Linked DNA regions of Struthio camelus. The protein of the gene in region 3 binds, or shares a complex with, the protein of the main gene of each other region. Links are inferred from orthologs where the notes say so. Each region holds a gene or a part of one and is shown on either strand. Other genes may lie near its edges. The genes, in order: CFTR, CAMKK2, YWHAG and CASP2.

Region 1 (7,143 bases), on a different chromosome or scaffold from region 3:
TCTGCATTTTAATATGTTCAAACATATCCCTAGCCTGAACAGGACATAGGATGAAGCAAGAGATCCTTGCCAATGGGCTTACAGATACTATTATCAGGGAGCTGATAACAGCTTGTGCAATATTAAATAATAATATTACATTTATCAGCAAGACTTTCCTGAAAAATAGTATTTTATTCTTTAGTGATACTTCCACTATAGTAACTTTCAACTTACTGCACTATATTCAGGTTTGTACTTTACAAATAGTTCCATAGCAACTACTAAAAAAGTTATTTCACTGAAGAAGTCCTCAGTGTTGCACTTGAAAACAACTATTTAATCATTATTGGAAAAAGTAATATCTTTTTTCCAGACATAACTTTTTCTTTTTTTTAAGAACTGACTACCTCTTTCTGATAGAATGCTCATGACTTCTGTATCTCACACAGTTTAATGGAACTAAAGCTCATGCTTAAATGTGGGCATGTCCTGAAGTGCTTTGCTAAATATGATCAGTTTCAGAAACCAAGGACATGTGTAGGTTCAGTTAGAACACTAACAAAATAATCTGACATTTCACAAAACCTTGATCCAATCTAATTCATTAACCACAATTTCGTGGATGTTTCCAGCTGACAGAACAGGTCTCTTTAGTTAGTGATACATAAGTAAATTCTTCTGACTTTATAAAGCTCATCACAAATAATATATTTTTAAGTTTTGTAAAATCCTCATACTTGATAAATGTTTGCTCTGTTATAATTTACCTTCTAATAATTTTTAACATTGATCCTGATATTAATTTGATGAGATGGAAATTCTGAGTCAGTGAGGAATGAATGCAAATATTTTAAAACACGCTCATATGTTTCACAGCTACAAATAATTCATTTTTCCAAAGAGTTTTTTTTAAGAGAAAGACATTCTTGATGCAAATTGGGATGTAATATTTTTTATCTTGTGGTTTTCACTTTTGTGATCTTTGCAAATATTTCATATAATAATTCTGAACAGAGATATTTTACCAATATACATGGTAAAATGCAAGTAAATTTTATAATTCACAGAAGCATATCATGTTGGATTCTTTATAGAAGTCTATATATAATTTTGTCTATTCTTACCCAGTGAACTGAATGCTTACTTTAATAGCTTGTTTCTTCTTTGAAGCAATATTATCATAAAGTTTTGCACAGAAACTCTTCTGTTCTAGTCAATATTCACCATAAATATCTCTTTTCTTGATATATTTATTATCATAATATTATCATAAGACAGTATAATATCACACATCACGCATGATACGCATGATTCAAACCTCACTTAATTGACATAAAGACTCAGACTCAAGGTTAATGAGCATGAGTTGCATCTGCTTTTGGACATGGGAATTTTAATTAAGGTAAGAATCAGCAATATATTTTATTGGGAATTTTGCCTGACATCTTTAGCATCACAAGTTCTAGGACAGCATGCTGCTATAAGCTGCAAAATAAATAAAATGAAATCGAACAAATGATTCCACGAGCAACAAAGTTAATATGTTGCCTTATTTCCTACAGATTTGAATCTTACACTTGACTGGAGCACCAACTGAAGCTTTTCTATGGAGAATTTATAAGGGCTCACTCCCACTAATCCACACTCTCTGGGTCTAAGAGCATTTGAGTACAGGTACAGCTTCTTTCACATTGCAGCATCTGTAGAGGACACTGACAGGAGTCTCCTTCAGCTGGGCATTTCACAAAACTTGAGAAACTGGTTGTGTTTGGGATCCTTCACAGCTATCTCATCTGGCTGAAATGAACGGTCAAAGGAATCAAAGGGGAGCAGGCAAGCAAACAGAATAATTCATAAAGAGCCACTTCTTAAGAAACTAAGAAAAAAAAAGTCCAAATCTATGCCAATCTGCTGAAAAGGGAAGTTATCCCAAAAGCTTTAGAAAGTGAGTTAAAAGCCCTCAGTTAGTATCTCAGCCAAGAACCTCGTGCCAATGTTATGGTTTTCTATCACGTGTCCTCACTTCAGTCACCATGGCCATGTTTCATGTAAGATTTCCTCCCTCCCTTAGGTGTTGCATGAAAGACCCTCACGTAACAAAAGGGGAAGCCGGCTCCCTTGGAAAACAGCAAAACTGACACATGGGTCAGAAAGATCATTTGTTCCTTCCAGCTGGTAGTGTTATTTCCAACAATATCATGTAAAACATTTTCAGGCTTCTGAATTGTCTTATGAACTGTGTGGTGCACAGGCATTGGGGTATTGGCTCCTTCTCCTCTTTTTCTTGAAGTTGCAAGAAAGAAAAGATGCCAGGGACTTTACTCGTAAGGGAACACTTTCAAGGCTTACAAGGAACTATTTCCAGTAAGATCCTGTATTACATTCATATTGAACTGAAAAAAAATGGAAAGTCAAGGAGAAGGAACCCTTGCTTTCAGATCATTCACCCCCCCCCCCCGCCCCGTGATCTCACAGCTTGTAGTGAAATAACAAATTAAGTAGTTGAGCAATTTACCAAAGGTTGCTCAAATTGTGTCATAAATCAATTTGTCTAGGACCACTGACGGTTTATGACACCAAATAGATAGAGACCATTCCTAGTGCTAAAAACTAGAGGGAGAAAAAAAAGCCAGATAAGATCACATCACTTTTCGACAAGCAAGGCTCCCACTGCTCTCTTTGCAAACTGCTCTGGGGCTCCTTGGCGCCTAGCGAGCCCTCCGCCGGGCCAGGCAGCCCTGCGCCCGCGCCGCCCTCCCGGCCCGCACGTGCTCCGCCGAGGCTCCTACCTGAAGAAAAGTTTGGAGAAGATGTTCGCCTTCTCCAGGGGGGACCTCTGCATGGTGCCCGGGGCTGCCTCGGGGAGGCGCGGCGCGGCGCGGGGCTGGGCTGGGCTGGGCGCGGGGAACTGCCGGCCGCCGCTAATTGCTCACGCCTCGCTCGCTCCGCTCCCGCGGCTCTCCCACCTTATCCGCTCGGGCCGCTCTGATGTCATTGCCTGCCTCCTTCCCCTGCCCCTCTCCCCGCCTCTGCTTTGCCCAGGTTCAAAAGCAGGAGGGCTCGGGAGCCGGCCCGCGCACCACCGCCTCCTCCTCCGCCTCCTCCTTCCCAACCCCCCCGCCGCGCCCGGCACCCGCTGCCCGCCGCGCCGCGCACCCGGGCGCGCCCCGCGGCTCCCGGAGCTCCCCACTGTGCACGCACACACACACACACACACACACTCCTCCCCCGGCTCCTCGCTGGGTTTCGCGCTAGCCCATTAACTCTTCCTACCAACGCGGCTTGGCTGGGCCTCGCACACCCTGCGCTCCGGCGCCCTGCCAGCAGTCACTAACGCAGAGTCCCGCAGGACTGGCGGGGAGCCGGGCTGCGAGCCCCCTCCAGCCCGACCTCCCTCGCCCTTCAAGGAGGCGAATCGCCTTTCTAAACTGTGCCTTCTTCCTTTGCACCGGGGGCAGCGGGGAGCGGGCAGCGAGGAGACACCCCCCCCGAGCCCCCCAGGGGGACACGCTGCCCCCGCGCGCGCACCGTTGCCCGCCGCAGACCCAACCCGGAGCTCCCGAGCCACCTGCTTGCAAACCCGCAGCGAAACCTGCCGGTCCGCGAGAGGCGCGGGGGCGCCCTCTAAGACCGAAGGGAGCCTAAGCCTGGTTTAACGGGGTTTAACTTCTGTGCATGCCCAAAGCCCGAGTTATCCCACCGTTAGCGCCAGTATGGGGGAGAAACCCAACACAATCCCGCCTGAGGCTCCCCAGGACCCCTGTGCGAGGTCCTGCAAGACAGCTCTTAAAGGAGCGCCCTGGGCCATCGCGATGGCAGAGAGGGCGTGAGGGGCCCCATTCACGTGCGCCGCGCTGCTGGCCAACGCCGTCGCTGTGAAATGACTGAAACAAGCAATAGACAGCGGACAGGGAGCTCAGATAAGAATAAATGAGAACAGTGCGCACAACAACATTCACTTTAAAATACAGTTGCTGCAATTTTTCAAGTTTTCTCATAGGCACGACAACTTGAACGTAGAGGAATGGGAATTGAAGGTATATCCTCATAAAATTTAGCCCAAACACCGACGTTTAATAACAAAGCTGCTTCTGGAATTATGCGTGTAGTGTACAAACAAAATCCCTGCTTTCAAAGAGCATGCAGTAGAAAGCATGCTTAAAATAAAATAAAGATGACAATAAGCAGGAATAAGTTCTTCTGATCGTTTTAGTTCTGTATATAACTTACTCCTGTTTCATTTAACATTTTAATACGATATTTACACAGTTGCCTTTTACCTCTGTAATTAAAAAAGTATTAATGGAAAAGGTCATGCTTTCCTAAGCATACAACCGTTTCTGTCCACACTGGTTCTTTAAACGGGCAAACGTGATTCTTATGGTCTCAGAGCTTATGCTACGATTTAACTAGCTGTCACTCTTTGCAATCTTTGCGGCTATCTCTTCTTTTATTTCACATCACTGCTTCTCACTAGACCCCTCAGCGCCTTCATACAGAACTTCTCTTCGCCTTACAGTTTTTCCTCGCAGGCCGTGGGGAGCTCCTAGGTGCCCCCTCGCACCGCTCCGGCGGTGCTCAGCGGCGGAGGCGCGCGGCTCCGCAGCGGGAGCCGAGCGGCGCCGCAGCGGGAGCTCTCCGGCATCCTGCCACCTAGCGGAGCCCGCCGCGCGGCCCGGGAGCCACGGGGCCCCGGCGGCACGGGCGCGGGGCTGCCGCACCGCAGCACCCCCGCCGCAGCGAACAGGGGAGCAGGCGGACGCTGCACCTCGAGGAGTTTGGCACCGGGCTCTAAGCTACTCGAAGGTACCTGCTCCCTTTCATATTTAAAGGTATGGATTTTCTCCTCGATTAAGCGGTGACAAATGGCAATCTAACTCCTCTGTATCCACTATGCTCAGTGACTAGCATACTCAACCAGAAAAGAGCGATTAGGATTCGAATCCCCCCTTTGCCTGACTTAAGGCAAGGCTGTGAATCCACATTTTTCCACCTCTCAAGGAAATTCCCCACTGGGCCCTAACACACAGATGATCGAAGTGGATCTCTTTCTCTGAAATTCTTTCACTGTTACAAAATAGTTAAATGCCAATTTAAAGACAGGCTGGAAAACAAGTCTTTTGAGCAACATAGAACTAGCCTGCTACAGACTCTTTCCCTTTCTAGCCCTTAGGTTTCTGGTGTGTTCAGATAAGGCAGAAACTGAGCAGGGGATTAGAAGGTTTTTTGTATTTTACATTAGAAAGTGAGGTATGTTAGCCATTTAAAACCTTTTGTGGATCAAGTCCAAATTGCTTAAAGTGTCAATGGCTAATGGAGTATTTTCCATAAAAGTCCTTGCTGCTATTATCACCAGAGCTGACTTAGGAGCATTTCCAGTAAATTTGGGACTAACAAAGATATCCCAGTAGTTATTGTTGATTTTTTAGCTCCAAATTCCACTGCCCTTCATATGTCAAGTTCTCTAAATCCCTAATTTTGAACATTTCTTCTCTAAACTTAAGACTATTTGACTAGTTTCTTAACTACCAGTTATCGCTATTTCAGCACCACCAAACCCCCAGGAGTGATTAGTTCCCTGCTCTCTGATCTGATAGTTTTGTATAGAACTCATGTGCTTCCATCTCACCTCACACAGTCACAAACTCTTAACTAGTTGTGCTTTTCAAATTTTCCACAAATAATTTCCTTGCCCTTTTTTTTTTCCCCCGAACTGAACATTCTGTAGTTTCAGAACAGCCATTATTCCTAATCTTCTCTGGGAGCTTGAACATATTCCAGCTGACATGAATGAGAAACTTGTCATTAGCATTTCTATGCGCAAGAATAAACCATGATATTTCTATTGTCTCTAGGGGCTGAAATACATCCAAATTTAGTATTATCTATGAATGTAATTAATGTGATCTTCCTTCACTTCCACAGAAATGCAATCTGATATGACAACAGCTACTTTATCCTTTAATTGTATCCACATCCACCATCTATCTGATTTTACTTCGAATTTTTGAAAAAAATGGAGTGAGCCTGTTGCAGAGTGAGGTGGCATGTGAACAGGAGAACAGGCAAAGCCTTATTTCCTTTGCCATCACTGCAGTAACTTTGGCTGCCATACTGCATCATTGCAGAAGTGCAATGATACCCCAGCCAAGTGAGAAACAACCTGCGGTAGGGAGTCTGAAGCCGCAGACATAGGAAACGGATCAGCTGCTCAGTTGCTGCCATGTTCACAGAAACTCAGAAGTGAGTTACACCTGGAGGCTGTACCGGCCTCTGTCCTGCCTTTGGTTACATGTTCCTATTCCCCTCCAGGACTACTGGACTGCATGTAAAGCAGTCAAGGTTCTGGTCTAACTGAAAACTCTACCATAGAGTGATTCATTTTCAGCAGGATCAGCACCCTGAACTAACTAGGAAGATAACTTACTCGGCACTACTGCCAAGATAAGTAAGAGTACAAACATACGTCAAGGGGCAAGAGAGGAGGAAGGCAAGGCAGGGGTAAGATCGACTTTAGCTGCCATGGAGTCACAAACTGAGTTTTCTAAGTAAAGCAGCACACTAGGGGTTTGGGGTTTTTTGATTTTTACCCAGCTGCTGATTTGCAAGTGTGGAGGAAAGTAATTCTATTTAAATACTTGATCCATTAGCCAACATCAGTGGACAAAGGGACAGAAAAGTCGTTAGTGGAAAGAGAAAGTATGACCACATAAGCATCATCATAGAAAACAAAAGCTAAGCAGCTGCCAAAAGTAACATTTACAGTCACTGATTTTTTGTTGCTGCTTAAAATGAAATAGGTTTTCTGCTCATTAGTCTCATAACTCTGATCTTCTGAAAAAATCCCTTAAAACATCCTTGGAGAAAAAATGGTTCTCTGGATAGGATAGGGAAAAAGAAAATAGGGATCAAGGTGACGTTTATTTTCTTTGATGGCTGAAGCAATCATATATAAAAATCAATTTCACTCTAACTCAACCCTCAAATATTTCAGAACCTTTAGTTAACTGGAAACTATTTTTAGTTGTAATGTTTCGTTCAACCCAAAAGCAATTCAATGTTTTTTCAGATTTTTTCTATAACAGTGTAGGACTTGATCCACAAACCTAGTGGTCTTCCCCTCAACCTTTTCTATGCTCAGCTGGAATCTAATACACTTGG
Region 2 (7,883 bases), on a different chromosome or scaffold from region 3:
TAATTAATGTTGCAGTGTGGCTTTTGGCAGATAATCAGTGCTTTGGTTTTTAAAACCACAGCTGTATTTCAAATGTTAGAGAAAAGTAACCCCTTCACGGGAATGCTGGTGGCTCCTGCCCCGTCTGTTACGTTAATCAGGCCCCCAGTGATAGTAGGAAAGCACTTAAAAGTTCAAGTTCCATAAAGCGCTTGGAGCACCTGCCAGCTGCCTTAATAGCATATTCGCATTAATAATTTGCAGTATGGCAAAACTGATTCCTAGGGTGGCTTCGAAGATCCCGGTGAAGAGCGTTTATCCGTAAAGCTCGCAGGGAAGCAGGTACGCGGCTCCCGCGCCCGCCTCCGCTCCAGGCGGGAGCTGCTGCCTCGAAAAGGGCAGTTTCAGCCCGGTGCAAGGAGGGTGCTCGAGCGGGAACGCGCTTGAGGAGGAAAAAGGAGGAATTAGCACGAGCCAAGCGGGGGCTGCAGCTGCAGGGGCGGCGGCCGGCGGGAGCCCGGGGCCGGGGCCGCCCGCGGCGGCCCTTCCCGAGAGCCGGGTTTCGGAAGGGCCGGGCGGCGGCTCGACCCGCGGCGCTGCCCGCCCGGGGACCGCAGCCCGCCCGGGTCGAGCTCCTGCCGCGGATGCTGCCTTCGGGGGAGGGCGGCGGCGGGTAAGGGGGCAGCCGCGCTTTGGGGCGGATCGAGGCTGGAAAGGTTAAAAAAAAAAAAAAAAAGGGGGGGGTGAATGAAAAGGGGGGGGGGAGAATGCGGCTGCCCGCGGGGAAACCTCCCCTTCCCCGGGGCGGAGCGGAGCGGGGCCGGATCTCCCCCCCTCCTCCCCACCGCCTCCCGCCGCCGGAGCGGAACCGAAAGCGAAGGCGGCGCCGGGCGGGCGCGCTCGGGCCCCGCGGGCGGCTCCGGGGCTGCGGCCCCGGCGGCGGCGGCGCCCAGGTCGGTGCGGCGGCGGCGGGCGGGGCGGGGCCGGGGCGCGGGGACGGCGCGGCCCCGGCGGGGACAAAGCGGCGCCGCCTCGGCTCGGCCCGGCCGCTGCGCTGCGCCCGGGGCCGCGGGCCGGGCCGGGCCCGAGCGCGCTGCTCGCAGGAAACGGCGTTTCCCTGAAATAACGCGTTCGGTGGGTTCCGCGGCGCTGCGGGTAGCGGGTGTTTTGGCCGGGGGAGGGGAGGGGGGGCGGTTGCCGGTGGCTTCGTTTTCCCGTGCGGGCGAGAGCTGCTTGGGGGGGGAGCGCGGCTGGCGGAGGGAAGGGCCCCGGCCCCGCTGCGGCTCCTGCCGCCCGTCGGGCCGCCGCGGCCGCCGCCGCTTCCCCGCACGTGCCCGGCGGCGCCCGGGGCGCAGGCGGCCTCGGGGAGGGGGCACCGGGCCTCGGGGACACGGCGAGCGGGTGGCGGTCCGCAGCGGCGCGGGGCCTCCTGTGGGCCGAGGGCGGCCGCCGCGAGCCCCTCACCGTCGCCTCGGGGCGGGGAGGGAGGATTAGGCTGCGGAGGCGCTCGGGGGTTATGGAAAAGGAGAAGGAGCTGTGCGGAGGAAGCGGGAGGCGACGGAGGTGCTGCAGGAGGAGCGGTGGCGGCAGCGGGGCCGTTTCGTGCCCCAAGAGCCGAAACCGGCCCCGGGGACGGAGGCCCCGGGGCGACCCGCTGGGGGGCTCGGGGGTTTCGCGGCCGTCAGCTGCAGCAACGCCTTCGCCCGGGTCCAGTCCTTCCCTGCGCGGCCGCCGCCTCGCCAGCTCCCGTCGCGCCAGCCTCGCGGGTCCCTTTGGGGGCTTTCGCCTAAAGCTCGCAGGCTCCGCGCAGAGAACTGCAAAACTCGTTTCATATCAGGCAGCTGTAGGGTTTCCAGGCGCTCGCGGCATCAGGGGCCCGAAGGCGCCGCCCTGCCGGCCGCGTTTCTGCCCCCGACCGGCCCCGTCGGCACGCGCCGCAAACCGGGCGCGAACCGCGCGTCGAAGCGCTCGGGGCAGCGCGATCCCGACGAGCCGCTCGGCCGGAGCCGCGCCGGGCCGCTCTCCTCGGGCTGCGGAGGCGGCGGCGGGCATCGCTCCGGAGCATCTCCGGGCGTCTGTGGGCCGGCCGCGGCGGAGGCGACGCGGGGGCAGGCGGCCGAGCCGCCGGCGGCCTGGAGCTTCGCTGGGGCGCGCGCCCCGCCTGGCTGCCGCAGAGTCTGCCGCCGCCTTTCCTGGTGGCGGGGTGCCCCCAGCCAGGCTTTGGGTTTTGTTGCTTTTTCTCCCTTCCTTTGATTCCTCCCGTTTTGCTTCGGACGGGCCGGATGGCTTTTCCGCCCGCCGGGGAGGGCGGCACGGCGCGCCGTCGGCCCTTTGCAACGCCGCGTTGTTTCGGGTGCCCTCCGGCTTGCAGAGAGATTGTGTTTTCTTTCCCCGCCGCCGGTCAGGCGCGGGCGCTGCAGCGGCCGACGTGTTTCTGGCAAGGTCGGGCAGAGCCCGCGGGGCGGCGGGCGGTCGATGGCACCGCGGAAAGCGGACCGGCGCCGGGCTCTGCCCAGCGGGGAGCCCGTAACCAATAAGCGGTAACGAAACGCGCTCGTCCTCGGCGCGGGCGTAGAGCCGCGTCCCGGCCGGCCTCCGGCACGTCCCGGCCGTCTCTTCCGGCTCCCTTGTTTTTTAGGGCGAGAGCCGTGGTCCGAGCGCCGGGGAGGGCGCGAAACCCGTCTCGCCGAGCCGGGGCCTCGGTCGCCGGCGTTGCCCCCCAGCCGAAATCCAGCCGGGAACGTGGCCCCCGGCGTGTTTCTTCCTCTCCGTTTCGGGCTCCGTTTCGCCCCGTGGGAGGCGTTGCGCCGCCGCCGGCTCTCGCGGTTCGCCCTCTGCCTGACGATACCGCTGTCGTCGTCCTCCTCCTCCTCCTGCGGCCGGCGGGTCCCCCCCCGCGGCCGCCCTCCGTGGCCGGAGCTAACTTTGGGGTTTCGCTTGGGGACGGTATCTATAAAAAATAATAATAATAAAATAAAAATAAAGGAGGGGGGGAGATTTCTGCCAAACCCTGTTCTCTGCCCCAACACCCCCCCCCCCCCAAACCCTGGCGTGGGTTTGGCCGGGTGTGACAGCGCCGGCTTGAGAGGAGCCGCTCCGCGGTTCGGAGCCGCCGGCGGGCGCCCGGGTGACTTTTAGCCCGTCGGGAGCCGCAGGAGGCCTGCTCGAGTTAACCGGCCTTGCCGCGTTTGCGGCGGTGGAGCCGATTAACCGGGCGCGAAGGCCTCGGGCGGCTCGGCGGGGTGGTTTGCTCGCGCCGGGCGCCGGACGAAGCTCTGGGGCCGGCGGTGGTTTTCCGCCCGGCGCGACGGGGGTGGTTTTTTAGCCTCCCGAAGCCGCTTCCTTTTTTGGTGCCGTTCGCGCCGCCGCCGTTTACGGGGCCCGCGGAGAGCGGCCTGCGCCTCCGGCCGTGCCCGGGGCGGCCGGGGGGTCGTCTCGCCCGGGACGGGGACGGGGGCTGGCGGCCGGCCCCTTCCCCGAGATGAGTTTTGGGGCCGCCGGCGGGTCCCGTCCCGACTCGTGCAGCTTCGGGTGAGACTTGGCCGGCGGCGGCGCGGGAGCAGCCGGGTACCTGCTCCGCCGGCTTGTTTTACTTTCTTTTTTTTTTTTTTTTTTACTCTTTTTTTTTTCTTTTTTTAAATCCTCGACGTGTCGTTTCTGCCCCGCTGATCGGGAGCGGCGGCGCGGGCGGCTCTGGATTTAAACGCTGCCTTGCTGGGCCGCGGGAGCGCCGCGAACCCCTGCTCCTGGGGCCGCCCGTGTCGGGCTGGCGTCGCGGTTGTCGGGGGGGGGGTTGGTTATTTTCTGGGGTTTTTTTGGTTTTTGGGCTTGTTTGGCTCTGTGGCACCTCGTCAACCTAGAAATTAAGAAATAAAACCGGGTGCGTTTGAGCCTCGGGGAAGCAGACGGGGGCCGGGGGGGGCACGCGGGGGGGGCCGGTGGCCCTCGGGGACTGCCCCGCTGCCTCCCCCCCCTTATTCTTCCTTCCCCCCCCTTATTCTTCCTTCCCCCCCCTTATTCTTCCTTCCCCCCCCCTTATTCTTCCTTCCCCCCCTTATTCTTCCTTCCCCCCCCTTATTCTTCCTTCCCCCCCCTTATTCTTCCTTCCCCCCCCCTTATTCTTCCTTCCCCCCCCTTATTTTCCTTCCCCCCCTTATTCTTCCTTCCCCCCCCTTATTCTTCCTTCCCCCCCCTTATTCTTCCTTCCCCCCCCCTTATTCTTCCTTCCCCCCCTTATTCTTCCTTCCCCCCCCCTTATTCTTCCTTCCCCCCCCCTTATTCTTCCTTCCCCCCCCCTTATTCTTCCTTCCCCCCCCTTATTCTTCCTTCCCCCCCCTTATTCTTCCTTCCCCCCCCTTATTCTTCCTTCCCCCCCCCTTATTCTTCCTTCCCCCCCCCTTATTCTTCCTTCCCCCCCCCTTATTCTTCCTTCCCCCCCCCTTATTCTTCCTTCCCCCCCCCTTATTCTTCCTTCCCCCCCCCTTATTCTTCCTTCCCCCCCCCTTATTCTTCCTTCCCCCCCCCTTATTCTTCCTTCCCCCCCCCTTATTCTTCCTTCCCCCCCCCTTATTCTTCCTTCCCCCCCCCTTATTCTTCCTTCCCCCCCCTTATTCTTCCTTCCCCCCCCTTATTCTTCCTTCCCCCCCCTTATTCTTCCTTCCCCCCCCTTATTCTTCCTTCCCCCCCCTTATTCTTCCCTCCCCCCCTTATTCTTCCTCCCCCCCCTTTATTCTTCCTCCCCCCCCTTTATTCTTCCTCCCCCCCCTTTATTCTTCCTCCCCCCCCCTTTATTCTTCCTCCCCCCCCCTTTATTCTTCCTCCCCCCCCCTTTATTCTTCCTCCCCCCCCCCCCCTTTATTCTTCCTCCTTAACAGACTCGATTTCTCGTTTCTGCCAAGGTCCGGCAAGAGGATTTAGACCGAGGTGGTGGCGACGGGAGCCCCAGTGAATCCTCGCCGGCGGCTCGGGGCGGCGGGAGCGACTGAAGCGGGGTCGGATCCGGCGCCCGCCTGCCGGTAAGCGCGTCCCCGGCTGCCCCCGCGGCAGGAGCCGCTGGGCGTTATTTGGGTTCCCCCGGCCGGAGGTCGGGGGAGCATCGCTGTCACGAGTTCGCCGGGTCTCAGCGGGGGCCGCTGCTGTTCGCAGCCAAATGGCGCGGCGGCGGGGAGGAGGCCGGCGCCCGCACCGTGCCGTCGCCCGCGCCCGGCAGCTCCCCCCGCCGTGACGCCCCCTTCGCCCCGCCATGGAGGAGTCCTGCGTGCTGGTGCCGCCGTGCCGGGCCGCCGACGGCCGGGGGCCGGAGGAGACGCGGGCGAAGCCGGGCCTGGCCGGCCGCAAGCTCTCGCTGCAGGAGCGCTCGCAGCCCGCGAGCTCCGGCGAGGAGGCCGCCGCCGCCGCCGAGCGCTTCATCTACCCGTCGCTGCCCTACTCGCCGGTGACGTCCCCGCACGCCTCGCCGCGCCTGCCCCGCCGGCCCACCGTGGAGTCCAACCGAGTCTCCATCACCGGCTCGCAGGTGAGCGGGGGGGGGGGGTCTCGCCGCTTCCCCCCCCCCCCCCCGCGCACTCTCCTCCTTTTTGCAAGATGGCTTTTAGCTTTTTTTTTTTGCATTTTTTATGTTGTTTTATTTTTTTGCACAGCGTTTCAATTTTTTTTTTTGGGGGGGGGTAGAGCGGTGCCTGGAGGTGGGTCGCCCGCCGCCCGAACTGTAATAACGCTAGCGACTAGCCGTGCCGCGGGGCTGTCGCCGGAGGGTCGAACCCTTTGTGGCTGGCTAGTTTGGCTCGCCGCGCTCTCGCCGCCTCCTCCCCGGGGCGGGAAGGGGAGGAAACGGCGGCGGCGGCGGCTCGGCGGCCGCCTCAGCCCTTGCTCCCTTGGCAGGACTGCGTGCAGCTCAACCAGTACAAGCTGAAGGACGAGATCGGCAAGGTGAATATTGCCGGGATTTTGGGGGGGGGGGGGTGCTGCGTGCTTTGGCCCTTTGGGTGCAACCCCCTGAAATTTATTATTATATATATATTTTTTCCCCTTCCATCTTCCCTTTAATGAAATGGGGCGTTCGAACCTTTTTTTTCCAACCCCCCCCCCCCGCCGTCTCCTGCCCCGGGAGCGGGGGGAGCGTCAGACCCGGCGCGGTGATGTGGTGTCCCCCAGGGTCACCCGCCGCCCGGAGGGGCCGGCGGGGGCTCCTTGGCCCGTCCCTCGCTGGCGGCGGCCCACGGCTCGCGTCTCTGCCCGCAGGGCTCCTACGGCGTCGTGAAGCTGGCCTACAACGAGGACGATAACACCTACTACGTGAGTACGGCCGGGACGGCGGCTTTGCCCCGCCGAGCGAGGGGGGGGCCCGCCGCCGCCAGCCGGCCTCACCCGCCCGCGGGCTGTCTTGCAGGCCATGAAGGTCCTCTCCAAGAAGAAGCTGATGAGGCAGGCGGGCTTCCCCCGTAAGTGGCGCGCGGGAGGCCGGGGACGTCCGTTTTGACGTCTTCCCCCCCCCCCCCCCCCAAGACGTCGGGTCTGCCCGAACTCGGATTTGTTTCCGGTGCCGTTTCCTCCCCTCGTCGAGGAGGATTCGGGTCCTTCCCTCGGTGGGCAGGACGCGGAGCGGCCCTCGGCCCTTTCCCACCCCGGCCGGGGAGCTGGGGGGCTTCTGCTCCCTCGCTGCGTCCTCGCGGCCCGGAAAAAACCTCCCGTTGCCTCTTCTGCCCCAGGCCGCCCGCCTCCCCGGGGCGCCAAGGCCGCCTCCGAAGGCTGCGTGCAGCCCAAAGGGCCCATCGAGCAGGTCTACCAAGAAATCGCCATCCTGAAAAAGCTGGACCACCCCAACGTGGTGAAGCTGGTGGAGGTGAGTCGCAGCTCCGCCGACAGGGAGCTGCAGGGGTGTCCTGGCTCCTTGGAAGAAACGGGAAACGCGAGTCAGTTTTGGGGAAGGAAACGACGCTCCCGAGGCTCCTGCCGAAGGCAGAGAGCGCTGGGGGCTCGCCGGCGGCGACAGGAGCGGGGTCGCCCCCGCGTTAGTTAGGCCTGGCGGGTACGAAGAGCCCCGGGGATCCTCATCCGTTTAATTACGAAATTAAGAGGTTGGTAGCCGGCTTTCCGAAGGCGAACGAGGGCGGCGGGCCGTAAAGCGGCGCCCGTGGCCGGGCCGTGAGAGATAACGGGGCTGGGGGGAGCTTTCGGGCGCCCAGGGCGGGCGGTGCCGTCTCTTCCTCCTCTTCCTCGTCCTCTCGCCGCCGGCCCTGGCGAAGCGGGGAGGGGGGCGAGCGCTGCCCGGGCAGCCGCGGCGAAGGACGCGGGACCCCTTAGCCGCCGTCGCGCCTTTTCTTGCCCGGCGGTCACCTCTCCTTTCGCTTTCTCCCCCCTCGCCGCCGGCTGGGGCAGGTGCTGGACGACCCCGGCGAGGACCACCTCTACATGGGTAAGCGAGCCGCCGGGGCCGGGGGCCGTCTCCTCCCAGCGCGGCGCCGAGCGCTCGGCTTAACGCCGAGCCGGCGGCGGCTCGCCGGGAATCCGCGCCGAGCAGCGTTTTCGGGCAAAGCGTGGTTTAAGTCGCGTCGGACTTGTAAAGGCTGAGCTTGCTTCCGCTGGCCGCCTTCCTGGGTGGCTCTTTTAATCGGAGGCAGAAGCACCCCGGATTTCGCGTGCCCAGCCGTAAAAACGAGTGCTCGCGCGCCGGGACGCGGCTCGCAGGAGCTCTAACCTGCAATTAATGGCCTTTTCCTTTGCGTTTCAGTGTTTGAGCTGGTGAAGCAAGGGTAAGTGTCGAGGTCGGGACCCAAACCCGCTAAAGCGGGACAGGTTTGTCCGTAGCAGGTCTCCGTCGTCGGAGCAGCTTCTCGTGCCGGAGGGGTCGTCCCCGACCCCGCGGGAATCGCAGCCTGAGCCGGCTCCTCGCGAGACCCGGCTTA
Region 3 (7,905 bases):
ACCAGTGCATATGACATCACTAGCGTTGCTACGGAAATGAGTGCGAGGTCACAAGCCTCCTGCACAACTGGAATTGGGGGATGGGCAGTACAGAGGACAGTATCAGGAATAACTAAGTGTGACATGCCCATTACCGTGGGACTGAGCCAGAGTTTGAGTGGCATTCTGCAGAAATTAAGAACAAAGCTCTGCCTTTTGTTTGCTGTAGCAAGAGGCACTAGCACTCCCACTGTGAATCATTTTCTTATGGCTAAACTACATGAAAACTGATAAGCAGCATTAGCCTAGGTTACTCTTTCACTAGGAGCAGTAAGGACAAAAAAGAAAAAAAAAGAGTATATACAGTCTAACGACAACTTTGGTTTAAATACAGATCCACCGTAAGTAGGCTATGGAAATTCACATAACAGAAATATTGCAACGAGACTGTGTGTTAAGTCCTCAGGCATATCACTGTCGGCTTTGTCATAACGGCTATATTCTCCATATGAAATAACATGTGGCATCTGCACACATTGCAAGCCTTACTTTAAAATGAATGGATGCTGTTCTGTTATCAGCAAACAGTATAAAATCCATAGTGCAGCAGAGGAGTAGCCCAATTGTTTTAATATGATATTATCTTGTTCCAATTATCCATATTTCATTCCTTGATAAGACATCTCCTCCCTCCCCGTTCTCAGGCTGTGACAGTTTTGTCTGTTTGATAAATGCAAGGTTATTGATAAAATGGTGCAATATAGGCAAACGGAGCTGCATCCAAGACAGACTGCGACATTCCTAGATCAGCATTCACTTTTCATCAGCAAGGGAGGACACCCCAGCTCCTCTTAAAGGTTCAGACCTGACTAAGAAGACAAACATAAAGAACAGTTTTCCCCTTTAAAGCACCCCCTCCCTCCCTCCACCCAGTCTAGCCTCTCTGCAATATGACAAATGCAGAATCTTCTGGAATGACTTGATCCTGCCTCCCACGATTGCTTTGTTTGCAAGATCAGATCAGAGATATGTTTTTTTACTTCTTATATTGTCAAAATGTCAGTATTGAAGAGGAACGTTCAGTGTCACAAATCAGATCAGCCTGCTATATGCAGAGTCTTTATTTTAAGAGCGTGAAATGAATACAACATGACTCAATTCATAAATCTCGGAACAAGTGCAGTAAAAATAAGAGCTTTGGCAGCTAAAGGCTCAGATCTTTGGGGTCACAAGCATACAAGCCTCGCAGACCCGCGCACGGGAAGGGATGTATGGGAGCGACGGGGTGGCATTTCAGCAGCGGCTGCGGGGAGAGACGTGCTCGCAAATCCTTCCACAGGGTTTCCTGCAGGCTCACCCCAAGGGGCTGAAAGCCCCTAAGCAGGTTTGGTGTGACCCTGCAGGGAGCGCAGCAGGAAGCACCGTGCCTCAAGGGCGGCTCCTCTGCCCTCTGAGCAGGGACAGGGCGGGGGGACCCCTGGGGCAGGAGCAAGGACAAGGGACAGAGGCACAGTGGAGGATGCCCGTAGGGGGCCTTAGGGCAGGGAAGAAAACAAGGGGCAGGGCAGAGGATGCATGGGGCAGGGTGGGGGGCCTTAAGGCAGGGGAAAGGATGGTAGCACGACAGAGAACAGAGGGGGCAGGGCAGGTGGGCCTTAGAGTAGGGAAGAGGACAAGGGATAGGGGCACAGCAAAGGATGCACGGGGACCATAGGGCAAAGGAGAAGACAAGACACAGGGCAGGGCAAGGGGGGGCATGGGGGCCGCAGGGCAAGGGAGAGGATCAGGGATGAGGTATCACAAAGGATGCAGTGGGGCTGTGAGGCGGAAAAGGATGAGGCACAGCAAAGGACAGGCAGGGTCAGGGCTGTAGCACAGAGGAGAGGGCAAGGGATGGGGTACAGCAAAGGATGCAGCAGGGCTGTGGGGCAAAGGAGAGGATCAGGGACAGGGCACGGCAGAGGATGCATGGGAGCCGTGGGGCAAAGGAGAGGACAGAGGAAGGGGCACGGCAGAAGGATGCATGGGGCAAAGGAGAGGACGAGCAGGGGGGGACACGGCAGAGGATGCACGGGGGCCGTGGGGCAAAGGAGAGGACAGAGGAAGGGGCACGGCAGAGGATGCACGGGGGCCGTGGGGCAAAGGAGAGGACGAACAAGGAGGGGCACGGCAGAGGATGCACGGGGGCCGTGGGGCAAAGGAGAGGACGAACAAGGAGGGGCACGGCAGAGGATGCACGGGGGCCGTGGGGCAAAGGAGAGGCCAGAGGAGGGGGGGCACGGCAGAGGATGCACGGGGGCCGTGGGGCAAAGGAGAGGCCAGAGGAGGAGGGGCACGGCAGAGGATGCACGGGGGCCGTGGGGCAAAGGAGAGGCCAGAGGAGGGGGGCACGGCAAAGGATGCACGGGGGCCGTGGGGCAAAGGAGAGGCTTAGGGACGGGGCGCAGCGGAGGCCGGGCAGCCTGGGGGGTCCGAGGACGGGGTAGAGGCCCCGGGACGGGACAGGGCAGCGGACGCAGGGGCAGGGCGGCAGGTGCCCGGGGCCGGGGCGGCGGCAGCGCAACGAGGCCCGGAGCGGGGCGTCCCGCACCCACATCGGCCCCCCCACGGCGCGCCAGCCCCATACGGCCGTGGGGGGGGGTCCCGCTGCCTCACACTGCGGGACCCTCGGGGAGGGGGGCGGGAAGGGCCGGGAGGAGGCAGGCGGGCGGGCGGCGCGCACCCCCTGCCCTCGCCCAGCTCCCGGCGGGGGGGGGGGGAGGACGGGACACTCACGTTCTTCATGGCGGCCGCCATGTCGTCGTAGCGCTCGGCTTGCTCGGCCAGCCGGGCCTTCTGCACCAGCTGCTCGCGGTCCACCATCTTCGCGGGGCCGGGGGAAGGGCGCGGAGGCTGCGGGCGGCGGCGGTTGGGCGGCGGCGGTGGCGGTTGGGCGGCGGCGGCGGCTCCTGGCGCTGACGCTGCTGCGGCGGCGGCGGCGGCGGCTGCACCCGGCTGCTGTGCGCGCGCCGCGGGCCACCACAACCCCCCTGCGGCCCCGCCCCGCCCCGCGCGCCGCGTCACCCGCGCCCCGCCCCCGCCAACCGCCGCCCGCCAACCGCCGCCGCCCAGCTGCCCCCCGCCGCCGCCGCCGGCCGCGCGCGCGCGCGCGCGCGTGCGCGCGGGGCGCGCCGGGAGTTGTAGTCCGCCAGCCCCCCGCCCCCGCGCCCCCCGCCCCGCCCAGAGACTCCATTTCCCGGCGCGCCGCGCGCCTGCCCCGCATCGCCCTCCTCGCCCCCCCCCCCCGCCCCGCCGACAAAATGGCTCCCCCTTCCCTGGTGAAGGGGCGGTCACCGTGCCCGTCGGTGGGCTCCCCGCCCCCGCGGCGGGGGAAGCACGGCTGCCGCCGGCTCCCCGGTGCTGATTCACCGGGCGGTGCGCCCCGCTGGGGGAGGCGGGGGCCCCGAGCCTGCCCCCGCCCGGCCCGGGCCTTGCGTGGCGGCTGCCATCACACGGGCTCCGCAGGCGCTGGCCGCCTTCTCGCCGCGCCGCCGCCCCGCGGGCGAGGAGATGGCAGCAGCCGGGCTGCCCGGGCCCCAGCAGCCCCACTCGCTGGCGGGGGCGGCGGAAGGGGGTAGCCCCACGGCTGCGCCCAGAGCGTGCGTCCCCTCGCCTCAGCCGCGGCGTCCCTCCGCCTGCAGCGACTGCAGAGGGCGCCGGGCCCCTCGCGCAGGGAGCGGGCCCTTGCCAAGGGTCGGGCCTGGCTGCCCGCGTAACCTTCAGTGGGTCACTTAGCAGCTTTGGGGCTTCCCTGATGCTCGGGGTGTTACCGTGAGACACCTTGTCTTTGGGGCTCTAAGTTACTCTCTGTTTCCATGAAGAATTTTGACAGAGCCTCAGCCTGAGTTCAGAGATTGTTTGTTTCTAGCCCATTTGGCTCTAGAGCCAAAAACATAAAACCAGACCTCTCAGGAGTCTAAAATCTTAAGGCAAGCCAAAGAGGCTTGGACTTTAATGTCATGACCTTCAAGCCAACTTCAGTATTTTTGCTGCCTGACTCATGATTTCTGAGTCTGAGGAGTGTGCAATGCTGTCCAGTGCCATCTTTGAAAAGGAGCCGAGAGTCTCCATTAGCATCTGCAAATATCTGCTTGGAAGAGCACCACGTTATCAAACCGTGAAGAACTATTCCAGTTTGGAGGCTAGCCCCAGAAGGCGATGCCATGTGCATTAGTACATGTTGTCATGACAGTGCTGAGTCACCCTGTTGTGATACAGTCAGGGACAAACAACTAACACTCAGCTTTTATCTGGCCACAGGGCAGGGGTCTTTCCAAACAGACTGCAGAGGAGAGCAACCTTACTTAGGAATGACGCTGTAAAATTTATGAGCGGCCAGCTCACAAGTGTGTTACGCTAACTCATCAATAACTAATGAAATAAAAATGCATGTTCACTTGCCACCTAGAAGAGCTTCTACTGCACATTAGGAATTCCATTAGAAACCATAGAGATGCTTTTTTCCTAAAAAGCCTATACATAAAGCAATATTTAGAGGATGCTCCAGCATCGTGGAAAAGGAAACGAGTCTAATGAAAGGTGATGTGCTGCTCAAAATGGAAGTGCTTTATCCCTAATCAGATGGAGGCCAGACCGTGCTAATGTACCTCTTCTCCATTGGTGAGTGCCGTCCTGCCTCGAACATGGTGGGTGTGCTCCCAGGGCATGCTCTGCCCATCCCTCGGCCTTTCTGGTACGCCTGCTGGCGTGTGGATGGTTTGGGAGATGTATCTGCAATTTAGGTTGAAGCAGGAACGGTGGTCCGGCCTGCTGACTCTTGCTGTCAGGCTTGCTGAGCCCCTTGTTCTGTGAATTGCTTTTGAACCTTCGTAGGAACCCTTCCTGACACCGGGTGTATATATGGTGCTGGCTTTCACAGGGGCAGTATCACGGCCCCAGCCTATTGTGGCTATTTAAAATCTGTGGAGAAGGTGTCAACCAAATGGGTGGAGACAAATTGAGTTTGGAAATGATGAGAATACTTTATGAGAGCAGGCAACACAATTTTTGAATAAGATCTCCCTCTTTATTGTGCTTTTAGCACTCTTACATTGCTTTACAGGTAACAAATAACGGTAATGAATGGACTGGTTTTCCTTAAACAAAATACTTATTTGTTTATAGCCTTTGAGACTAGAAGCTATCAGGCCTTCTCATAAATAGTTCCTGAAAACTAGAAATATGTCCAGATCATATCTATTCCCTGTGTAAAATAAAACACTGTCTAACATGTTCCTTCTTTTCCACCCTCCTTCCTTCGTGCACGTTCTTGCTCGACTGCCCAATTCATGTTGTAAGACTTGGGCGAGCTCACATAGGTTTCTAACAAAGTGAATATTAAACCTTCAGCTTCACCCTATGGCTTTTTCCCATACGCTGTGTAAGGCATGAGCACGTTTGAAAGGTCCAGTTCTAGACATTTGTAACAAGGCCTGCCACGTGAGCCATCTTGCCAGGGCTGCGGAGATATGTTGTGGTATGCCTTTTCCCCTCTCACACACCTTCACAGAGGTATTTTCTCTCGCTGACCTCCTCAGCACGTAGCTCAGTATTTTCGCAAGCCGTTTCCTTTTGCCCATATGGGTAGTCTGACACCTGGCCTCCCCAGTGGATGGCACACAGCTCTTCCCAGTCTCAGCTTGGCCAATTTGGGACTGATCATGACCTTTTAAAGAGAAAGTGCAAGTTGTCCTGTTGCGACAGCCTGGTTGGGCCCAAGCGCACATCAGGACTCCTGAGTCAATTGCCGTAAATATGCCTCTAAAAGCACTGAAGTGTTCCTGCGCCTCGGACTCGGCTCCTTCCTGGCCACCCCGGGTATCTGGCCTCACACCCCGCTGCACATGTGATTCTCAGATGTGAAAACACCCATTGTCCCGTGCTTTTGTTTACCATGACAGCTACCCTAAGGATAGTGCCCTGTAGACAACAGCAGTTTATTCCTCTTTTACGATAATGGTGCATTCATTCTTCTGACAAGGTTCGCAATCTCTGGAGAGCTCAGTAACAGTTTGTGTGTTGTTTTTACTATGCTCCTGATGATGCCAGCTTGGGGGATAAAATTTGAGCCAAAAAGTGCAGAACGCAAGAGAACATTAAAATACTTTGTGGGTCCCGGAATTAACGCTAGTGTTTCAGCTATGACTACTCTTTCTTATCAAGTCTGGAGCTACTTAGAAATGCCATAAGGCATCTGATCCCCTTTGCGCATAGTGCTGTACAAAGCTTATAAGAGAAAACCTTTGCCCAAAGACCCACGCTCTAACCTAAGAAAAAATGGCAACTCAAGCAGATGGATTTCCAGATAAAAGAGAAAGCTGGCAGCGAGAGAGCCCCTGATGAGGACACGTGTCCTCTACCTTGCGAGCAAACAGGACTGTCTGTGCGTGGGGGCCGGGTGGGGTTGGGCGCTGTTCCTGGAGGCCGAGGCTTTAAGGCTCTTTTGAATGATGCTTCCGTCTTTGGGGTGAATATGTCGTTCCTCTAACGTGCGAAAAATAATTCTTGGGTACAACTACTGGATTCTCACAGATAATATTTAACACAAGTCTAGACCTGAAGAAGAGCTTGTATGCCTGGAAGCTTGTGTATTTTTTCCAAATATATCAACTGGCCTAATAAAAAATAATGCCTCTCCATACAAACCTTATGACACTTATCTGGTAATTTACGTAAATATGGCAGATTCTCAGCTAGTCCAAATTATTGCAGCTCGGCCTATTTATGGTGTCTGTGTATTTGCCCCAGACTGAACAAATACTGATTTATACCTGTCGAAGCACCACAGCAATAAATAAATAGCACAACGCAGACAATTTCCTTCCCCATCACAGGTCAGAATGTAATATTCATAATGCTGTAAATTCTTCAGAATAGCGCTCTTGCTGTAATTTTTATTTGCACTGTATCCAGCCCCCTTTTTGGGCTCTGATACGTTAATCAGTCCTCATCACACCACTTTATTATTCTATTTTACAAACTGGGAAAGCGGTTTGGTGGAGGTTGCGTGGTGAACGGCTCCTGGTGAGCAGGGCACGCACCTGCGGGGCGCAGGTTTTCACTGCCGCGAAATCTGGACGCTCATCAATAAACGTCCTTCTGCCAGGTCTGCCTGTTGCATGTCCACACCTCGGCAAGAGCCCGGAGGGCTGCTCGTTTGGGGAGTCACAAAGACCCGAAGGATGTGGGTCTGTTTGGCAGATGTCCCTGAAAAACCTAATAACCCTTATTCCACCCACAGTATTAAAATAACCCTGGAGTGCTCAGATGTGCCACTCTGTTAATTCCTGTGGCCGAGAAGACGAGGCCTTCCCTTCGCGTTTTCTTGCCTTCCCTGTCAGCTGTTGTAAATGTTGGAAGATGGTAAATTCTCTTTGACTCGGAGGCTCGTTTCCTTTGCCTGCTTCCTACTCTGAAAATTTGTCCAGAAATCCTCGCTCCTCGCTTGCTGCGGGAAGGCGAGCGTGACGTTCGCGCCCCCCCTTTCCTCCGCGCTGGCTCGCTCGGCGCGACGGGGCTGCACGTCACCGCCGCCGCGCGCCCGGCCCCGCGCTGCGAGCTGCGCCGTCGTGTTCGGGCTGCCGAGGGATCGCCTCTCCCAAACCCAGCGGAAAACAGGCGGCGAAGAAGCAAACTGAAGAGCTGTTCTCTTCCTGCTGGCTAAGGGAACTGGCTCCCGCTTTGGAAATGCTTCGCGCGCACCGTACGGCTCGCAGTGGTGCAGCCCGGCTTGCTGGGGCAGCGCGACGCAGGGCCGGGCCCCCGCCGGGGCCGCGGGCACGCACCCCCGGGGCCGTCCCCGCTCAGCCGGAAGCCTCCCAGCAGCGCAGCACCGTAGCGAGGGTTTCTTACCCGCTGTCCCAGCACGCCTGCTCCCGTACGCGGGTT
Region 4 (7,154 bases), on a different chromosome or scaffold from region 3:
ACTTTGTCAAAGCCACTGATCCCTCCATTGTCATCTACTAATCAACAGAGACCATTTAGATACCCCTATCCCCATGATCTACTAACCCACAATTACATTATAGAGGCTTCAAGTTGTTTGAAAAGGAAAACAAAACCCTTGCTACCATAACTGTTATTTTGAAGTCCTGTTCCAGAGCTCTAGAAGTACATCCGTCATCCTGACAAGAGGACACTCACGAAGTGGATTTTGGACTTCCATCTTAGAAATGGCTGTTTTCACTTTCACATTTTATTCTCACTTTTCACCTTTGCTTGGCCTTTGGGTTTGAAAACTCTCTTCTGGGCCCTCCTCTAGATAATTATTAGATTTACCTCATCTTCACTACATAGTAGACCTAAATTCTCTCTTTGTTCTTTTCAAAAAAGAATGTAATTGAATACATTCATTTTGTCTAGTATCTTTTAGGAAGCCTCCACTCAAATTCTTTCCTGCCAGTGCTTATTCTCTCTCCATTTCTTCTTTGGACGGCAAAGAAAGCTGCTTCTATTTATTAATTATTCCCAGTCTACACATATAAACTCTTTATTTACTCTTCACGTGCTTATCAGCGCTTCATCCAGTTCAATCACCTTCTCTTCATTTGCTCTTCCAACAATCTCCTCCCCTCCCACTTTTCTATTACTTCTAACACGGATTCAGGATTAGTTGGGCAGCCCACATTTGAAGATATTTCAGGCTTTCTTCAGCTCCCTGAGCTTCTCAGTTTATTTCACTTTCCTTAGGGTACTTCACTTAAAGAAGGTAGACTTTTATACACTGTTTCCAGAACCAATTTCTTTATTCTTCCATTTAATATAAATGGCAGCAACACAGGACCAGTATAACTGAAAGGTTTTTAAGACAAGATGATTTATAATATAATAAGTCATCCAGATCTTCTTCATTCCACCACTATTTGTTTGGAGGAAGGATACACAGAACCAGTCAGTTACAACATCTAGGAAAACCTATGCTCTGTTATCAAATACAGTGACATTTGTCTCTTCCTATTTCCACTAAGGTCCACCATTAGTGTCATGATACATTTTTCAAGAATGGTTCTCCTGAACGGTATCCCTAAGACCTTTATTCACATTTGACCCAGCGTGCAGGAGATTATAAGAAATTCACAGAACTACCCTAGAAAAATGAAAAAAGATAAGACAACTTGTTTTTGATTCAAGTGATCAATTTTATTCATGTTATTTCTTGCTTATTTGTTGTCTATTGCATTGTTATCATCAGTACTATCCTGCCACCTCTACCTTCATTTCTATCATTCTAGCGCAATGCACATTTTGCATTACTACTGTTCCAGTTGTCACTGTTCTCCTCCTTTTCTCCTGCCCCACCCCCCAACAAGCTTCTGTTATCTCTGTTACTTCCAGCTTCATATTCTTTATCAGCGGACTGAGTTATGCTATTTTCTTGCTCAGGCTGCTGTTGCTACTCACACATATTTAAGCTACTTCTTATGAGTATACATAGTATTATATGCAATTTGCCTATAAAGTTGTTCCACTTACCTGACTTCTCCACCATAACACCTTCTTCCTCTGTACTCTCTAAAGTATTGCTGCATCCCCTTTTACCTAACCATACCTGGAGGGCAGAATGCTCAGTCTTCTTCCTCTCTTTCTCAGTTTAAATCTTATTAACCACTGCAGCATTTTTCCCCAAATGACTGTTTCTTCCAGCACTGTCTCCTCTTCAAGAGGGTTTCTCTTTCAGTGACTGACTGCAGGCCAACAACTGAACATCCCTACAAACCAGCCATACGCCACCAGTTCTTGATTCATCCTCTGCTCTTCCAACATCTTCCTGTATCTTTGTCCTCTATCTCTAGGGATTGGAACTATTTCAGGGAAGACTGCCTTGGTAGATATCCTCAATGCGTCACAGGAGAAATTTTGTGCTATTTTTTTGACACAGAGTCAAAATTCATCCGGAAGTTATTTCCTCATTCCCTTCAGAAATTCTTCAAGCAATTTACAAAACATACATGAAATAAGTTCTTTCTATAAAAGTAGCTTAAGTGCCACAATAAGCTGGCTATAATATATTCATTTACTTTTTCTCACAAGATTCTTTTGGAAATAGATATTATTCCCACTTTTACAAATTGAAGAAAAAAAGAGGCACAAAACAACAACTAAGGACTGAAAGATACTACCTGACTCACCAAGTGCAGCCTCTCACAACTACAAACCCCCAAGCAGTTCAGTGATTCGGTAGATCTCAGACCATAACCATATTGCCAAGAGAGGCTTATGAACCTCCTACATGTTGTGAACACACCCCTTGCTGCTGTGCACATTCTCCAAATGTGATTAAATTAAAACACACAGGTAACACATACATGAGTTTTACCACATTACCACTTCCAAGAATGATGCTAAGCTTAACTAGGAATAGAACTAGCACGGCACCTGAGCATGACCTGTATACCTGTATCATTTCCATCATCTCAGTGGTGATGATGTCTTTCTCTATCATATGCTCCATCAATTCTTTTAAAACCAGCTGCTTCGCCAGCATCACCCGGTTCTTCTTTAGCGCTTCCTGGTGACACCTCTGCATGCCGCACGCTCCCAGCATCCTGGCAGAAGAGAGAAGACCAAAACCAAACTGAACCGCAAGGGCTACCCCATCCCGCCTAACTTTCCACTCAGGAGCGAAAAGCCCGGCTGCGTGTCGGGAGCACTGGAGGCGCCCGACAACGGGCAGAAAGAGGCCTCCACCGGCCGCACCGCGGGGATCGCCGCAGGGAACGGCGCGCCCCCCCGAGCCAGCTGCCGAGGCAGCATAGGCCCCGCACCCACCTCTCGCCGCGGCCCATATCAAACCACCTCGGCTCGGCTCGGCGCCGCGCCCCCAGGTACCGGCCGGGACAAACCGCCGGCGCCGCAAGCGCACGCACCAACCCCTCCCGCCACTCACCTCCCCGCGCGCGCGCGCGCCTTCCCTGCGGCCCCGGGGATTCAAACCGCCGGACCCGCTTCCTGACGTCACGTGGCCGCGGCGGGCGCCTGCGCTGCAGTCCCGCCCTTTGGCAAGCGCCAAACAAAACAAGCCTGAGCGGGGCTGCGTCCTTGTGCGCATGCGCCGGCGCGCCCGCCGCGCGCGAGGCGCTGAGGGGGGAGGGCGTGGCGGAGCGGCGAGTGTCGTGGCTGCTCCGGCCGCGGGATGGCGGCGGCCGTTGGGGGCGGGTCTGCCCGCTGCTCGCGGGCGCTTTGCCAACGCTCCCCAGGTGGGCGTCGCCTTGGCCTTCCCCACCTTTGTACTTTTGCACATCAGAAGATTAGGAGAAGGGATTCTGCATGCAAATAGAATTAACAGGTATGCTGCTTTGCAAACATACCACTTCTCTGATCTCTGTGTTTTTGGAGTTGTTGCATGCATGTTGGGCTGAAATCAGCTGAGATCAAAAAGGGGCTTCAGTGTTACTGAGTAAATAAGAGGAAGAAAGGGAGCATGCAGGACATGGTAGAGTACAGTTGAAAGAAAGAGAAAGCGAAAAGTGAGCAAGCATCCTTTTAGTGGAAAGAGATTTTTAGCTCTTGCCGTGTAAAGCTTCAGATTGTTGTTTCCTGGTGCGTGTCAAAATTTAACACAAGTTGAAAGGCTTAAATAACCCTCTCAGCTGCTGAAGACAAAATCCTAGCGATCATAACTGGAGACTTTTTTTGTCTTTCTTTTGGCTAGCTTTTATCTGTGCTGGTCACCCGTGTTTCTTCCTGACTCCTAGGAATTTGTTGCAGCCAGAAGGATCCTGGAATGCCCAACCTAGGCCATACATCTCTACTCCCTTGTGGTACACTGCCACTTCTGTTAGTTGTGATTTGTTCTCTTGAGTTAGGAAATAGCTACAGGAAATAGTTAGCCTTAAAAAATCACAATGTTTCTCCTGGCAGTTTTTTCTCTCATAATACTTGATTGATAGAAATATAGCTGCTTTGCCATTAATGTTACTAAAGCGATTCAGCTGTATATTTAGAAATAGAATTCCTCTGTTTTCTCTAAGCCAAGATATAAGCAGAAATAAGCAGAAATAAGCAGAATGCAAGCAGCCATTAGTCATGATTTTGTGGAGTGTTTCTGATAGGAGGAAAAACTGATGATACTATCAAATATTTTTAATATCCATCATTGATGGTTCTGTTTATTTATAACATACATACAAAGTTATTTCTCATTGTTTGATTCTTTATAGCTCAAAAGAAAATGATATATTTGATCCTAACCCATTTCTTTATGGTTCCTGGTATGCATTGAAAATGATCCTGGTACCTTCAGTAAGAATTTATGCTCTTTTGGATATTTGGATGTTCTGCTTGGGCTACTGAATGGCTGCACTTATGCACAGGCTTGTTGCTGTTCTCTCTTTCCTCATCTTTTTTTCACAGTACTCCAAGGCTGTGATGATTGCTGCTCTCTTTCATAAGGAAATTTCAACCTCCATATTTCATGTTTTTATTTGGACATTCACCAGACCTCAGTGTCTCTTTGCGTACTGCAGACCACTTCAACCCTAACACTTCAGAACCTAACAGTTTGACTCAGCTGTTTTAAAAGACAGGGTAGCATCACTAATCAGCGAGAGCTAGGACCCGGCTTCAGACCAGAGCCGTCATGACAAAGATCACGTATGTTTCATGACTGATATTCCCAGATATCTCTGCTGCAGTCTCAACTTGGTCTTGGAAGAGGGACTGGGCCTTTCTAAACAAAAACATCCATGCACAGGGTTGTTACTGAGAACTTGGAAACATTGACATTTCTATGCAAAAACAGCAGCCGTGATGACAATAAAGTATCTAGAGTGATCTGCGATGTAGAGAGAAATTTGTAGAATATTTGTATTGTACAATAGAGAAATACTTTCTCCTGTAAAACTGGGAAGATTGGTGGTCCAGGCAGTGGGTATGTGTATGTGTCCCACTGTTGGCCTCTCCTACATGAGAGAAACTGCTATTATCTTCCTCTTACTTATTGCTATTTCTGTTCCTCCCCTTTCCAAGCCAGCTTATCCTGGCTGCATCCCACAGTTGTTCTTCAGCAGTCCTTTGGTGACCTTGTCTCTTCCCATGATTCACTCACCTCTTCCAAAAAGGTGTATCCCCAGGCTCCGAATTGCTTCTGTATATTACACGGCTTTTTTCCTAGTGGTCTTCCATATCTTCTGCCAGGACAAAGCACTGTGGTATTGTCATGAGCATGCACGAAGATCCCAGTGAAATCAGAAGCTATGTCTGTAGTTCAGCTCTGGTTCAAAGAATGGCAAGACAGACTTCTACTGATTCAGGCATGAAAAAGACTCATCTCCTTCTCCTTCCCTCCAGGTGCAGCCTGCATTGGGGTGAGGGGTTGGTCCTGCATTCATAGAAGGTGGAATTAATCATAATATTGAGGGTTGGAAAGCATGTTCAAAGACCTCATCGTTGACTGCATTCTCATAAGCAGGTGGTGGAGTGAGCGGCTCCAGTGGCTCAAACCTGTCTTCAATACCTTTCACTTCATGGATGTCTGAAACAAACCGCTGCAACCTGGGGGGCTGCACCAGCTGCAAGTGCATCCGGGAGCCTGTGTCTGTCTCGGAGGTGCACCTTATGTTTGGTGGCACTGAGACCCTGAGAGTCTCTACCACAGTCTCTCCTCGGGCAGATGATTCAATAACTACATTGTAAGGGGGAGGCTCATTCAGTGGTGAGGGCACGGTGCCCGGATTGGATGCAATTGTCCATATTGCTGGAGCTGACATAGTCATCACCTCCTCATAGGTAGGTGCTTCATAGGCAGCGTTCACCCTGTGCACAAGAGAGAGGAATACCAGTTAAACTGGTTACTTTATTGTTTATTTTATGCAGAGGCAGGCAGTCTAGATAACGTAAAGTAGGGACTATGCTACAAACAACAGATAATTGACTTGTTATCTCATGTGTTCTGGTGTATGATATTCTGCCATTGGATCAGCTCAGTGGTCCAGCCAACTTAAAGTCTTGCCTCCTATTCTAGAGAATGGCTTATGTGACTTTATTTTTCTACACTTAGAGTAAGTAATAACCCAGACTGTTCAATCCAGTGTCCTAGGCTTAGCTTAATATTCCCTCATTTAAAATCTGCCACCAGTTAAAATTTATTAGTAAGAACTACTAAGTGCTATTTCTGAGAGGAAAAACAGGATTTTCCTTTTCTGTCTCTATTTTAATATATTAGACCAACATTCATCTATTTTTAGGAATATAAGTGGAGAAAAAAAAGTATTTTCATTTAGTTTAAACAAAACTTTCCATTCTGTGCTAAAAAGAACATCTACAGAGAAGAATATTACTTTAGAGACATTTTCCCTTTTAGGTCATATTTTTGAATAAATGAATACTAGTTTTCTTCTAGTACACCCCAAAACTAGCAAAATGCACTATGAAGCTTCTTTTTATGTATTATTTCTAACAGTAAAGACGTGGAAACATTTTTGGCCTCATACAAAAACTTGTATCTGAGAATGCTGAGCAGTTTAAGGGTGTGGAAAATGATATATTATACAGACAGGCAAGCAAAGAGGCAAATAAAGTTAAATTCTTTAACTACAGTAGGCAAATTGAGGTTAAATTAGATGGTACTGAGTACCTGAAAACAGTGATGAAGCCAAAAGAATTCGGGAGTGTTCAGTGCCTCTCAAAATCAGGACCTATTAGTGTCAAGTTGGATTTTTAAGAATGGAACCACACCTGGTTACAGGTTCCTTTGTAAAAGTTTGCCAAGGAGCAGTTGCTTTGGGAATAAGGTTATAAAACTAAACCAGCTAACTAAACCACCTCAGCATTTTTTCCTTTTTCCTTGTCTGACTCATTGTTGAGCAAGACTCACTTACTCAAGGGAAGATAAAGCAGGGCTGGATCTGTTTAGTCTTAGAAATAGTCTATGAATCAATTCCCAAGGGGAAGAAAACTTAGATTGGACAAGATATAGGAGATCTGTGACATAGACACTTGCAAGCTCTACCTGGATAATGAAGAAAAACACCCTAAAATGAACTTCTCTACCCTAAAATGGAGTTTGTGTTTGGTTCCCTGGGGAAAAGGCAGCAAAACAGTATGTAAAACGGTCTTATCTAAGGAGAGAAAGTTAAAGAG

Evidence for each region.
Region 1: the proteins of YWHAG (region 3) and CFTR are in contact, whole or in part, in a crystal structure (PDB 5D3E), measured with the Homo sapiens proteins. The link is inferred for Struthio camelus from reciprocal best matches to the Homo sapiens genes YWHAG and CFTR. Residues at the interface, in NP_036611.2 of Homo sapiens: Lys50, Arg57, Arg61, Lys125, Arg132, Tyr133, Leu177, Asn178, Val181, Glu185, Ile222, Leu225, Asn229, Leu232; in NP_000483.3 of Homo sapiens: Arg766, Gln767, Ser768, Val769, Leu770.
Region 2: the proteins of YWHAG (region 3) and CAMKK2 are in contact, whole or in part, in a crystal structure (PDB 6Y6B), measured with the Homo sapiens proteins. The link is inferred for Struthio camelus from reciprocal best matches to the Homo sapiens genes YWHAG and CAMKK2. Residues at the interface, in NP_036611.2 of Homo sapiens: Ser46, Val47, Lys50, Asn51, Arg57, Arg132, Tyr133, Gly174, Leu177, Asn178, Val181, Glu185, Ile222, Leu225, Asn229, Trp233; in NP_001257414.1 of Homo sapiens: Leu99, Ser100, Leu101, Gln102, Glu103, Arg104.
Region 4: the proteins of YWHAG (region 3) and CASP2 are in contact, whole or in part, in a crystal structure (PDB 6S9K), measured with the Homo sapiens proteins. The link is inferred for Struthio camelus from reciprocal best matches to the Homo sapiens genes YWHAG and CASP2. Residues at the interface, in NP_036611.2 of Homo sapiens: Glu15, Asn43, Val47, Arg57, Arg61, Lys125, Arg132, Tyr133, Pro170, Gly174, Leu177, Asn178, Val181, Glu185, Glu213, Asp214, Lys217, Asp218, Leu221, Ile222, Leu225, Asn229, Leu232, Trp233; in NP_116764.2 of Homo sapiens: Asp137, Leu138, Ser139, Leu140, Pro141, Phe142, Pro143, Val144, Cys145, Glu146, Leu150, Lys152, Lys153, Leu154, Ser157.

What each region holds. Positions count from the first base shown.
Region 1 is NC_090942.1:28,687,588-28,694,730, forward strand, and holds the start of CFTR (cystic fibrosis transmembrane conductance regulator), read right to left. Parts: upstream 3,003-7,143; 5' UTR 2,825-3,002; coding exon 2,772-2,824; intron 1-2,771. UniProt on the Homo sapiens protein: Epithelial ion channel that plays an important role in the regulation of epithelial ion and water transport and fluid homeostasis. Mediates the transport of chloride ions across the cell membrane.
Region 2 is NC_090958.1:17,347,024-17,354,906, reverse strand, and holds the start of CAMKK2 (calcium/calmodulin-dependent protein kinase kinase 2), read left to right. Parts: upstream 1-4,871; 5' UTR 4,872-4,994; intron 4,995-5,124; 5' UTR 5,125-5,221; coding exon 5,222-5,494; intron 5,495-5,859; coding exon 5,860-5,907; intron 5,908-6,219; coding exon 6,220-6,273; intron 6,274-6,367; coding exon 6,368-6,419; intron 6,420-6,686; coding exon 6,687-6,820; intron 6,821-7,356; coding exon 7,357-7,393; intron 7,394-7,708; coding exon 7,709-7,730; intron 7,731-7,883. UniProt on the Homo sapiens protein: Calcium/calmodulin-dependent protein kinase belonging to a proposed calcium-triggered signaling cascade involved in a number of cellular processes. Isoform 1, isoform 2 and isoform 3 phosphorylate CAMK1 and CAMK4. Isoform 3 phosphorylates CAMK1D.
Region 3 is NC_090957.1:14,518,681-14,526,585, reverse strand, and holds the start of YWHAG (14-3-3 protein gamma), read right to left. Parts: upstream 3,011-7,905; 5' UTR 2,842-3,010; coding exon 2,755-2,841; intron 1-2,754. UniProt on the Homo sapiens protein: Adapter protein implicated in the regulation of a large spectrum of both general and specialized signaling pathways. Binds to a large number of partners, usually by recognition of a phosphoserine or phosphothreonine motif.
Region 4 is NC_090942.1:90,151,053-90,158,206, reverse strand, and holds the start of CASP2 (caspase-2), read right to left. Parts: upstream 3,014-7,154; 5' UTR 2,861-3,013; coding exon 2,844-2,860; intron 2,621-2,843; coding exon 2,470-2,620; intron 1-2,469. Other genes in the region: TMEM139 (transmembrane protein 139), read right to left, coding at 5,420-5,828. UniProt on the Homo sapiens protein: Is a regulator of the cascade of caspases responsible for apoptosis execution. Might function by either activating some proteins required for cell death or inactivating proteins necessary for cell survival.